Sus scrofa: one gene and its partners. The protein of the gene in region 3 purifies or fractionates together with the protein of the main gene of each other region. This does not show direct contact. Links are inferred from orthologs where the notes say so. Each region holds a gene or a part of one and is shown on either strand. Other genes may lie near its edges. The genes, in order: MCM8, MCM3 and MCMBP.

Region 1 (3,651 bases), on a different chromosome or scaffold from region 3:
TGGATGTACAGATAGAAGACGAAAAGATCAAAAAGGGAACATTGAGGTAAGGCCTCAGACAATAACTTTAACTTTGAAAAGCAGCAACCACCCTTATGACTGATGGAACAAAAGGTAAGTATTTCTAAGGTTACCAGAACCTAGAAATTCAAAGGAGGTTTGAATTCTTAGTTGTGGCTTTGACTTTTGAGAGGCACCCTACAAAGCTGTGCTTGGCTCTCTGAAGGGTATCCTTCAGAGCTATGCTCAGACCACTGAGGCAAGTTAAAGCTGAGTATTGCTGGTAATTCTGGTAGGAGGTTGGCATGGTTGGTGCCTGGAGTTGCAGGCTAGAACTGGACCTATCCTCCGTAGCTGGAGAGATGCTAAAAAGGATTGAAAACAAAAATAAACTAATTAGCTTCCTCCCTCCCTTCTTTCCTATCTCTAAAGTGCCTCCAATTGATAGAACCTAACAGGATTCTGGGAAATGCAGTGTTCAGATCTTGATCAGAGAATCACTGAGGAGAAAATAGAAGGGTTGACCTAGAACCGAGACAACCATCAACAGTTTGTGTAGAAACACAGTTAAAGATCTCCTTTTTATAATCCAGAATACCAGTTAAAATTATACATCTGTCTCTGTGGGTTTGAAGAATCATCTTTTCTATTCTCTGATAGTATCATGTCCTTATTATATGTCTTTTGAGAGGTGGCATTTATGTTTATATATATCTGTGCTTTTTCCCTAATAGATTGTGCATTGCTTAAGCCCAAGGATCTTGCCCCATACCAGGAACTCAGTATTCATTTTGCGAATGAATAAAGTGCTTACAAATGTTTTCTATATTGAGAGTCTGTTTTTTCCTATTACTTAGATATGTTTCATGGTTGATGTGTCTTTTGTTGCTTTAGGATGTTGGTTTAGCCACCAACACCTGCACTATTTCCCTGACATTTAGCTCAGAACATTAGAAGTAGTCTTTGGACTAGTCCTAAAGATGGAACTCACAAAGCACCTTTGACCAGTTGTATTTCCAGACTGATTCATTGTACCGTTGCTGTGTGAGAGACCAGTTTGAAAATGTTATGGGAGTTCCCATCGTGGCGCAGTGGTTAACGAATCCAACTAGGAACCATGAGGTTGCGGGTTCGGTCCCTGCCCTTGCTCAGTGGGTTAACGATCCGGCGTTGCCGTGAGCTGTGGTGTAGGTTGCAGACGCGGCTCGGATCCCGCGTTGCTGTGGCTCTGGCGTAGGCCGGTGGCTACAGCTCCGATTCAACCCCTAGCCTGGGAACCTCCATATGCCGCGGGAGCGGCCCAAGAAATAGCAACAACAACAAAAAGACAAAAGACAGAAAAAAAAAAAAAAAAAAAAAAAGAAAAGAAAATGTTATGGAACTTTACATTGCGGAAGATAACTGTACAATTTTGGGACCAGAGTCAAGAGGTGGTCTGCTGCCCCTGATCTCAGGAAGGGATTTGACAAGTGGCTCTTTGGACTAGTAGAATTTTCTTTGCAAAGGCATTGTCTTTAGCACCGTTAAAGAAAATAGTTTAATGTGTCAAGCTTTGTCTTCATTATGAAAGCTGTGTGAACTAATAAGTACTATTAGGTTCACAGCTTCAGTGTAAAGATTTTCAGATATCGGGGCTTTTAGGAAGAGATACTTCCTGTCTTCATTTCAGATTGTACAGACCTAAGCATGCCTTAGAATCTTGTGTATACATTGTATACCATTTCTTATCTAAATGTAATCAGAATGCAAAGCAATTGGATAAGTCATTTACTGTGTGTGTGGTATTTTGTCTCATGAAAAATATATGTAATGATTATTAATGCTGATGCCATTTTTGAATTAGTTTACAGTGACAGCTCTCCTTTTATTGAGAAGATTCAAACATTTGAAAATTTTTTCACAAAGCGTATTGATTTATATGATAAGGTAAGATTCCTGTACCACAAAGCTATTAGTCCACCTTTATATGTCATCTTATTGAGCGGTATATTCGAGGTGCTAATAATTGTGATGACAGACACTGGGCTGCTTTGGTCCAGCTCCCAGCTTGCCACGTTAGCAGTGTGGACTTTGGCAAGTTACTTACTTTGTGCCTCAATTTTCTCATCTATCATTAGAGGATAATGGTATCACTAGTACCTACTACAAAGGGTTGTTAAAGCCATAAATGAGTTGATGTATTTTAATATTAAAACTGTGCGTAGTACAAAACTTGTAGTACTTATCGCCTTAGTAATAATATATGCTTTCTCAAAGTTTATAATTGAATGCTCAGGCATGATAATTGACTCTGAAAAAGCAATCATTGTTTTTATACCTTAATATTTTATAGGATGAAATAGAAAGAAAGGGAAGTATTTTGGTGGATTTTAAAGAATTGACAGAGGATGATGAAGTAGCTAAATTGATACCGAATGTAGCAAATGAATTAAGGGATACACCTGAGAAAACCCTGGCTTGCATGGGTCTGGCAATACATCAGGTAAATATTTATTTTTGTGAGACTTGACAGAATTTTAAAGGAAGATTTTATGTAACAGTCCCATCTCTAAAAGATTTCTTAGTTTTTATCAACAGAACTTGGCTAAAACTGAAAGGTTGCAATGCTGTCCTAAAACTCTCTGTATAGCAGCTTACCCAAATATAACATTTACTTCTCATTTATTTAAATTAGTTTAATCTTATCAAAGATTGTATAGAAATTAAGCCTCGTTTTCAAGGAGGCATGTAATCTCACAGGAAAGATAAGGCTTGATGGTGTTACTAGTTATGAACTTGGAACAAAAAGTTTAATCCCAGATTTAGGCTTTGCAGCATAGGGCAAGTCACTTAATCTCCCTAAGTGTCCCCATGTGTAGATCAAAAATTTAACAGTATTTGCTTTGCCTGCCTGAGTTTTTCTCAGAGTTAGATGACACAACATATGTGAAAGCATTTTTTAGGCAGGCAACTAGATAAATGATTCAAGGTAAAATGTGGTAAATCTTAGGACAGGCACAGAGAAGTGCCAGCTGCATTCAGAGATGAAAACCTTCAACTTTTGGGGAGGAATGGGGAAAGTGCAGAGGAAGTCTACAGACATGGTCGGTTGTATGATGAGTCTTAAAGGGGGTACTGAAGACTGGATATAGAGCAGAGGAGGTGAGCAACAGTTTATTACCAAGATGTGCACACTGCTAGTGACCCAAGACTGGGAACCTTGGCTGTTTTCTTCAGACTCCCCTTGCTCATTAGTTCTCATTATCTAAGTTACCATATCCTTTCACTTCTGTTGCTTAAATGTCTCTTAAATCCACCACTTTTCCATCCTTACAGTTTCTATCTTAAGTCTTCATTATCTTTCCTTAATTGTTGCCATACATGGTAAAACATGATTTGTCCTTGGAAACTGGTGACTCTTTCCTGCCAAATGATATCCAAGCCCTTTGTGTGTCACTGAAAGCCTTCCATAACCTAGTTCACCTTCTCCTCACTCTCCTTCATTCACTACCATCCAGCTAAACTGCACTTCCTCCAGGATTCTCTGGATCCTGCACCTCTTAGACATGCTATCCATTGGGCATAGAATGCCCCTTGCCTCACACATCCAAATGTCTTGTCACTCTGTGAAAGCTTTCTTATGACCCCTTTTCAAAGCTCACGTGGGTTTTT
Region 2 (3,751 bases), on a different chromosome or scaffold from region 3:
CCGATGTACACTTTTAAGCACAGTTCATCCAGAGGGAGAAGTAGCAAAAGTTCAGGGTCAGAATGAGGAGACTGCCAAGAGCGAAGAATCCTCTGCTCTCAGCAGACTTCCTCCTTCTGCTGGCACAGGTCCTCCATCACTGTGCACGGCTGGGCTCCTCCAAGCTTCACCCTGAAATTTCAGTGCTTCACCCTTCTGAAGCCATAAGCTCCCCAACCCTACTGCACCTTTCCTGCCTTCCAGCCTGCCCCACCCCACGTCTATCCCACCTCCATTCAATTAGCCCTCCACTCCAGCCCACTCACATTTAGTGACAATGCCCTCGACACACACGACACAGCTAAGGAAGCAGGAGGTGAGAGTCCGGGGAGAGACGTGCTTGGAGCCAAAGCTGCCCTCCAAACCTATGTAGAACTCCTCATACTGCTTGGCATATGTAGCATCAATGGAGGCCACAAAATCCTTTAAGGCCCGCTGGAAGGCAACCAGCTCCTCAAAAGCATTGTTCAGGAGGCTGCGGATAGGCAAGAAGAAGAATCATTAGGCAGAGAGGGCAGAACTTGACAAACTCAACCTACTGGAGTTCCCGTCATGGCTCAGCAGTGAGCGAACCTGACTAGCATCCTTGAGGATGCGGGTTTGATCCCTGGCCTTGCTCAGTGGGTTAAGGATCTGGTGTTGCTGTGAACTGTGGTGTAGCTCACAGACTTGGCTCGGATCCAGTGTTGCTGTGGCGTAGGACAGCGGCTACAGCTCCAATTGGATCCCTAGCCTGGGAACCTCCATAGGTCACAGATGCGGCACTTAAAAAAAAAAAAAACTCAACCTACAAAACAGCAGTAGACATTTTTAGATAATCAAAGCTTAGGAGTGAAAATCTGGCTTCTACTTTCTCCTGCCATCCTACAAGACCCAGTAAAATACACCAGAACTGAGGGCCAACCTTAATTCAACTTATCAAAGACAGAGACATGATATATAATTAAACACGGTAGGAAGGGCTCTTGAGAGGAAAATGCCTACCACCTACTTTGGAAAGAAGTAAAAAACATAAGAGCAGGTGAGGTACTAAGGGCTTCTAGGTCAGAAACATTTCATCCAGATCCTCTGCTGGGAAGTCTACTCCAATCCAATGAAGAGAAGGGAGCCATTCTGACTCAGGGCCAGGATGTGGCGGTGGACACCTAGCCACTCACCGGTTAGCCCTCTTCTCATTCTTCCTGCGAAGGTCATTCACATTGACAATCAAGCGGTACTGGTTGTCACTGATCAGCTCCCGAACTTTGCTCTGATAAATTCCCTGATCTTCCTGCAAAAGAACCACCACATGTCACAACGGCCACAAATTCAAATATATGATGCTTTTAAACAGAGGCAGCTCTCACAGCAAGATAAATATATCAATCTCTGCAGCAGAGGTGAATCCCAGTTCCTCCCACATTTTCACTCACTAGTCTCACATTCCAAAGACACCTAAGAGACCAGTGTATGAATTATGACTTCCTCAAGACCCATGCTGTAATTCCTATTATCACCAATAGCTCTTCTGTGTGCAGTCATTTCACAACCTTTACTGGGGAATTAAGGACAAGTTAAGGGGAAGGAATAAAGTAGGTGTCTGGGATTAACAGATACATACTAATATATCTAAAATAAACAAGGACCTACTGTATAGCCCAGGAACCATACTCAATCTTATAATAATGTCTAATGAAGAGGAATCTGAGAAAGAATATATATATATGTGTATATATACACACACACACTCATATATAAAACAGAATCACTTTGCTATACACCTGAAACACAACACTAAGTCAACTAGCCTTCAATGTAAAAAATATTTAAAAACTAAAAAAAAAATTTAAAAAGAACAAGTAAAATCCTTGTTAAAATGCAAATTAAACAGACTTTTAATACTCAAAGTGACTTTTCGTTGCAGAATTTTGTCTGGAATTACTTTATTTCCCCAATCATCTGCATAATATAGAGTTCCCATATCCGGACATTCGCAAACAGAGCACTATCAACCCTTCAAGACGCTTTAAACAACATTCTGTGGCTGTCAATCTTAAACTGCATACAAACCCCCCTTATTTGCACGCCAACACTATTTCTCTCCGTCCCAAAAGGTAGGGAAAAAGGAACGCGGCCAAATAAGGGAGTCGTTTCCTCCGGCAGGAAAGTCAGCCACTAAAACCTGGGGACCCTATAAGTCTGCAGGTCACTACCATCACCGTTCTCCAGCGGTCCTTCCCCGACCCTCCCTCCAAATTAAGAGAGCAGGGAGTGAAAAAAGTCAGCGTGGCCTTTGCACTTGGTTTGCGCTTGGAGGAAACCTGCGCCTTTCGCGAGACCCGGCCATCATTTGTACTCTGCAAAGCCACAGGATTGCTCTCAACCACAGACTCCGCTGCCAGAAAGGCTACAAGATCAGGGCGGAAGGTCCCTAACCTCCGTCCCGCCGCCGCAGCCTGGAGCTCCGCGGTCTCCCTCGGCCTCAGTGCGGCCCCCGGGGCTCCTGGACCACCCAGCCCTCCCTTACCTCGTCGTCCAGGAAATCCAGGTAGTCTCTCTGCGCCTCTCGCAGCTCCACATCTTCCAACACCACGGTCCCGGCCATGCTCGCTGCTAAGGAACTCCTGCCAGCGGAGCCGCGCGAAAGAGCCTAGCGTAGCCCCGCCCCGGCGCGAAAACCTCTCTACTTTTCCCGCCAACAAAAGTAACCCCAAGGAAGGGGTGGGGTATTTGGGAGGATATATACACTCTGATTGGCTGGTTATTCCTACGCGAGAACAGCGAGTATCCAATCGAGGACGGCTTCTTCTCTAGGTTTTCTCTGCGGCTCCTCCGAGTGGCGGGAACTGTGCTAGCCGGGCCCCTCCTTACTCCACCTTTACTGACAGGAAAGCTGACCAATGAGATGAGAGGAGGCTCGCAGAGCCTGCTCCTTGGGCAGCCGGAGAGCCAGCGAGACCTGAAGCGCTGCCTTCTGGGAGTCGTAGTCGTCCCTCTTTTTCCTCAATGTTTTACCGGGTGTTTTCTGGTTGCGGTTCCCCGACCTGCCACTGAGTGAAACTCGGCCCGGCGATTGGACTGAAACTAGACTAGACGTCAGAGAATGTGAGTTTAGCATGCAGGGAGAAAAAAACACAAAGGCAAACCGTTTTTAAAATATATCCAATATATATCAGTTGTGCTATAGATAGGTTTTTCAAACGCCCTCTAGTGGCATTCGGGGAAAAAGTGAATTTCGAGAATCTAGGGTGGAGAATAGAATCACAGCATCTTTGGGAGAGGTTCTTTAGTTCAGCAACTCATTTGCTATCTGAATACCGTGGCCTGAAATACCCCACAAAAATATTAGGCCGCGGAAGAGAGGAACGTGAAAGAAAAATTTTCGCGACGTTTCCCCACCCCCACCCCAGATGACCTCGTGTTTTGTAAGAAATTATGGACGTAATTACTACACCATCCTACTCGCAAATGGGTAAGTTAAAGTCTTTCTCGCCTTATGAGAAGTTCACAAAATCTTTTTTAAAAACTTAGCTTATGGAAAGGTAATTAAATAGAAGGAGAAACAAAAGGTGTTTCACGCCACTCTTAAGTTTCAGTCATTAATTAAAACAGCAAATCTGAAATTATAAACAATTAAAAGACCGATTGCATATCGCAGGAGGTTTTTTTGGTTTGTTTTCTTTTTAGTCTTTTGCAGTTTGTTTATATTTTGGGGGTTTTTTTGAGGTAAAAT
Region 3 (3,651 bases):
CGGCATATGGAGGTTCTCAGGCTAGGGGTCCAATCGGAGCTGTAGCCGCCAGCCTACGCCACAGCCACAGCATTGTGGGATTTGAGCCGTGTTCGCAACCTACATCACAGCTCACAGCAACGCTGGATCCTTAACCCACTGAGCAAGGCCAGGGATGGAACCTTCGTCCTCATGGATGCTAGTTGGGTTCGTTAACCCCTGAGCTGCGATGGGACCTGCTGGCTATAATATTTTTTGCTGTTTCTGATTAAAAAAACAATTGATCTAGAATTCCTTGATGGCTCAGTGGGTTAAGGATCCGGTGTTGTCATTGCTGTGGCTCGGGTCACTGCTGTGGCACAGAGTTAGGAACTCTGCCGTGGATATTGCCAAAACCAAAACAAAACTAAAGAACAGCTGATCAACGAAATCTGCTTTATTTTCAAACAACATTAAACTAATTCTGCTTTGTTTGCTCTTTGATGGAAATCAGAAAATCACCCAAGTGTCTTATTGGTTGACATCTTTTTTTTTTTTTCTAGGTATACAAGAAGAGATGTTCTTCCCCTAGGAAAATTTACGGTTAACTTGAGTGGTTGTCCGCGGAATAGTACCTTCACAGAACACTTGTATCGAATTATTCAACATCTGGTTCCAGCAGTAAGATCAATATAAATTTGTATTATAAACCTAAGTGCCCTTTAAAAATCCGTCTTTCGTTCAACCCAAATATTAAGCTTTGAGATTTTAATAGATCTCATTAAGGGAAAACAAACCTGCCTAGTACTGTGTTTTTTGCTCATCCCTAAACATTTCACTTTTATTGCCTTAGCACAAATTTCTCTAAGTAACAACACAACTGTAGTAAACTCTCTTAACATTGCACTAGCTGTAATGTCAGTTCATTAGTACAATTTGGTATCCTCTGTGTGCTTTAAAATCTTAAATCTAAAGAAACTCTAAATTACAGGAGCACAATTCTTTTAGTTCAGGGTAATAACTTTATCTCTACTTCCCTAATTTTGATTCTGGTTGGAAAGTCAAGTTACTTTTATTTGCAAGGACATCTGGAATGCATTTTTGTGTGTGTATGGTGCTAAGATCTTGGGAATGAGAGAATAGCTTCTGATTAGTCATGTGACTGATAATGCTGATCACTTCCTACTTGAGAAATGTAAGAGGTTGAAATAGATATTCATTTAACTAGTGTTTATTAAGTGTCTTCTAGGACCTGAAGAAACAGTAGTGGACCAAATAGACCAGCATTTCTCACACTCTGACTCACTTTTTTTTTTTTTTTTTATTTTATTTTTTGTCTTTTTGCCTTTTCTAGGGCCACTCCCGCGGCATATGGAGGTTCCCAGGCTAGGAGTCGAATCAGAGCTGTAGCCACCGGCCTACACCAGAGCCACAGCAACGCGGGATCCGAGCCGCGTCTGCAACCTACACCACAGCTCACGGCAATGCAGGATCCTCAACCCACTGAGCAAGGCCAGGAATTGAACCTGCAACCTCATGGTTTCTAGTTGGATTCGTTAAGCACTGCGCCACGACGGGAACTCCTTTTTTTTTTTTTTTTTTTTTTTTCTTTTTTAAAGCTTTATTGAAGTAGTTGGTAGTTGATATACAAGGTTGTGATAATTTCTGCCATACAACAAAGTGATTCGGTTATACATATACACACATCCATTCTCTTTCAGATTCTTTTTCCACATAGATTATCGTAGAATACTGGGTAGAGTTCTCTGTGCTATATAGCACTTCCGCGTTGGCCAGTCATTCCATATACTTCAGTGTGCATATGTCAGTCTCAAACCTCCAGTCTACCCCTTCTCCCCTTCCTGTCCCCTTTGGTAACCATAGTTTTTTCAAGGTCTGTGAGTCTGTTTCTGTTCTGCAAATAAGTTCATTTGTTTCCTCTTTCTAGATTCCACGTAAGTGATATCATGAGATGTTTGTCTTTCACTGTCTAACCTCACTTAGTATGATAATTTCTAGGTCCATCCATGTTGGTGCAAATTGCATTATTTTATTCTTTTTTATGGCTGAGTAATACTCTGTTGTATATCTGGCTGAGTAATACTCTGTTGGATATATGTATCCATTCCTCTGTGGATGGACATTTGTGTTGCTTCCATGTCTTGGTTATTGTAAATAGCACTGCAGTGAACATTGGGGTGCATGTATCCTTTCAAATTATGGTTTTCTCTGGATAGATGCTCAGGAGTGGGATTGCTGGATCATATGGTAGTTCTATTTTTAGTTTTTTGAGGAACCTCCATACTGTTTTCCATAGTGGTTATACCAATTTACATTCTTACCAACAGTGTAAGAGGGTTCTCTTCTCCCCACCCTCTCCAGTATTTATTGTTTGTAGACTTTTTGATGATGGCCATTCTGGCTGGTGTAAGACGATATCTCTTAGTAGCTTTGATTTGCATTTCGCTAATAGTGACATTGAGCATCTTTTCATGTGTTTTTTGGCCATCTGTATGTTGACTTTGGAGAGATGTCTATTTAGATCTTCTGCTTATTTTTTTATTTTTTATTTTTTTTGGATATTGAGTTGCAGGAGGTGTTTGTATGTTTTGGAGATGAATCGCTTGTCAGTCTATTCATTTGGAAATATTTTCTCCCATACTGTGTGTGTCTTCTCGTTTTTTTTTTGTTGGTTTTTTTTTTTTGTTTTGTTTTTTTGTCTTTTGTTGTTGTTGTTGTTGTTGCTATTTCTTGGGCCGCTCCCGCGGCATATGGAGATTCCCAGGCTAGGGGTCGAATCGGAGCTGTAGCCACCGGCCTACACCAGAGCCACAGCAACGCAGGATCCGAGCCGCGTCTGCAACCTACACCACAGCTCACGGCAACGCGGGATCGTTAACCCACTGAGCAAGGGCAGGGACCGAACCCGCAACCTCATGGTTCCTAGTCGGATTCGTTAACCACTGCGCCACGGCGGGAACTCCTCTTCTCATTTTATTTAGGGTTTCCTTTGGTGTGCAAAACTTTTACGTTTAATTAGGTCCCATTTGTTTATTTAGATCTTTCTTTTCATTAGTCTAGGAGGTGGATCTGAGAAGATACTGTGCAGTTTATGTCAGTATTCAGCCTATGTTATCCTGTAAAAGTTTTATGTAGCATTTGGTCTTATATTTTGGTCTTTAATCCATTTTGAGTTTATGTCTGTGTATGGTGTTAGGGAGTATTCTCATTTCATTCTTTTGCATGTAGCTGTCCAGTTTCCCCAGCACCACTTATTGAAGAGACTGTCTTTTCTCCATTGTATATTCCTGCCTCCTTTGTCATAAATTTATTGTCCATAGCTGCATGGATTTATTTCTGGGCTTTCTGTCTTGTCCACTGACCTATATTTTTGTTTTCTGTGCTGGTACCATAATGTTTTGATGGCTAGCTTTGTAGTATAGTCTGAAGTCAGGGTGCCTGATTCCTCCAGCTTCATTTTTCTTTCTCAGAGTTGCTTTGGCTTTTGGGGGTCTTTCGTGTTTCCATACAAATTAAAAAATTTTTTGTTCTATTTCTGTGAAAAATGCCACTGGTAATTTGATAGGGATTGCATTGAATCTGTAGATGCCTTGGGTAGTGTAGTCATTTTGACAATATTGATTCTTCCAGTCTAAGAGCATGGTATATTTGTCATCTTTGATTTCTTTCATC

Evidence for each region.
Region 1: the proteins of MCMBP (region 3) and MCM8 purify together in Homo sapiens (co-immunoprecipitation; 3 studies listed by BioGRID and IntAct, with this or other methods). This does not show direct contact. The link is inferred for Sus scrofa from reciprocal best matches to the Homo sapiens genes MCMBP and MCM8.
Region 2: the proteins of MCMBP (region 3) and MCM3 purify together in Homo sapiens (affinity purification with mass spectrometry; 10 studies listed by BioGRID and IntAct, counting the BioPlex papers as one, with this or other methods). This does not show direct contact. The link is inferred for Sus scrofa from reciprocal best matches to the Homo sapiens genes MCMBP and MCM3.

What each region holds. Positions count from the first base shown.
Region 1 is NC_010459.5:14,796,807-14,800,457, forward strand, and holds part of MCM8 (DNA helicase MCM8), read left to right. Parts: intron 1-1,843; coding exon 1,844-1,926; intron 1,927-2,332; coding exon 2,333-2,482; intron 2,483-3,651. UniProt on the Homo sapiens protein: Component of the MCM8-MCM9 complex, a complex involved in the repair of double-stranded DNA breaks (DBSs) and DNA interstrand cross-links (ICLs) by homologous recombination (HR).
Region 2 is NC_010449.5:46,101,676-46,105,426, forward strand, and holds the start of MCM3 (DNA replication licensing factor MCM3), read right to left. Parts: upstream 2,751-3,751; 5' UTR 2,624-2,750; coding exon 2,546-2,623; intron 1,310-2,545; coding exon 1,197-1,309; intron 515-1,196; coding exon 306-514; intron 1-305. UniProt on the Homo sapiens protein: Acts as a component of the MCM2-7 complex (MCM complex) which is the replicative helicase essential for 'once per cell cycle' DNA replication initiation and elongation in eukaryotic cells.
Region 3 is NC_010456.5:129,683,140-129,686,790, reverse strand, and holds part of MCMBP (mini-chromosome maintenance complex-binding protein), read left to right. Parts: intron 1-521; coding exon 522-639; intron 640-3,651. UniProt on the Homo sapiens protein: Associated component of the MCM complex that acts as a regulator of DNA replication.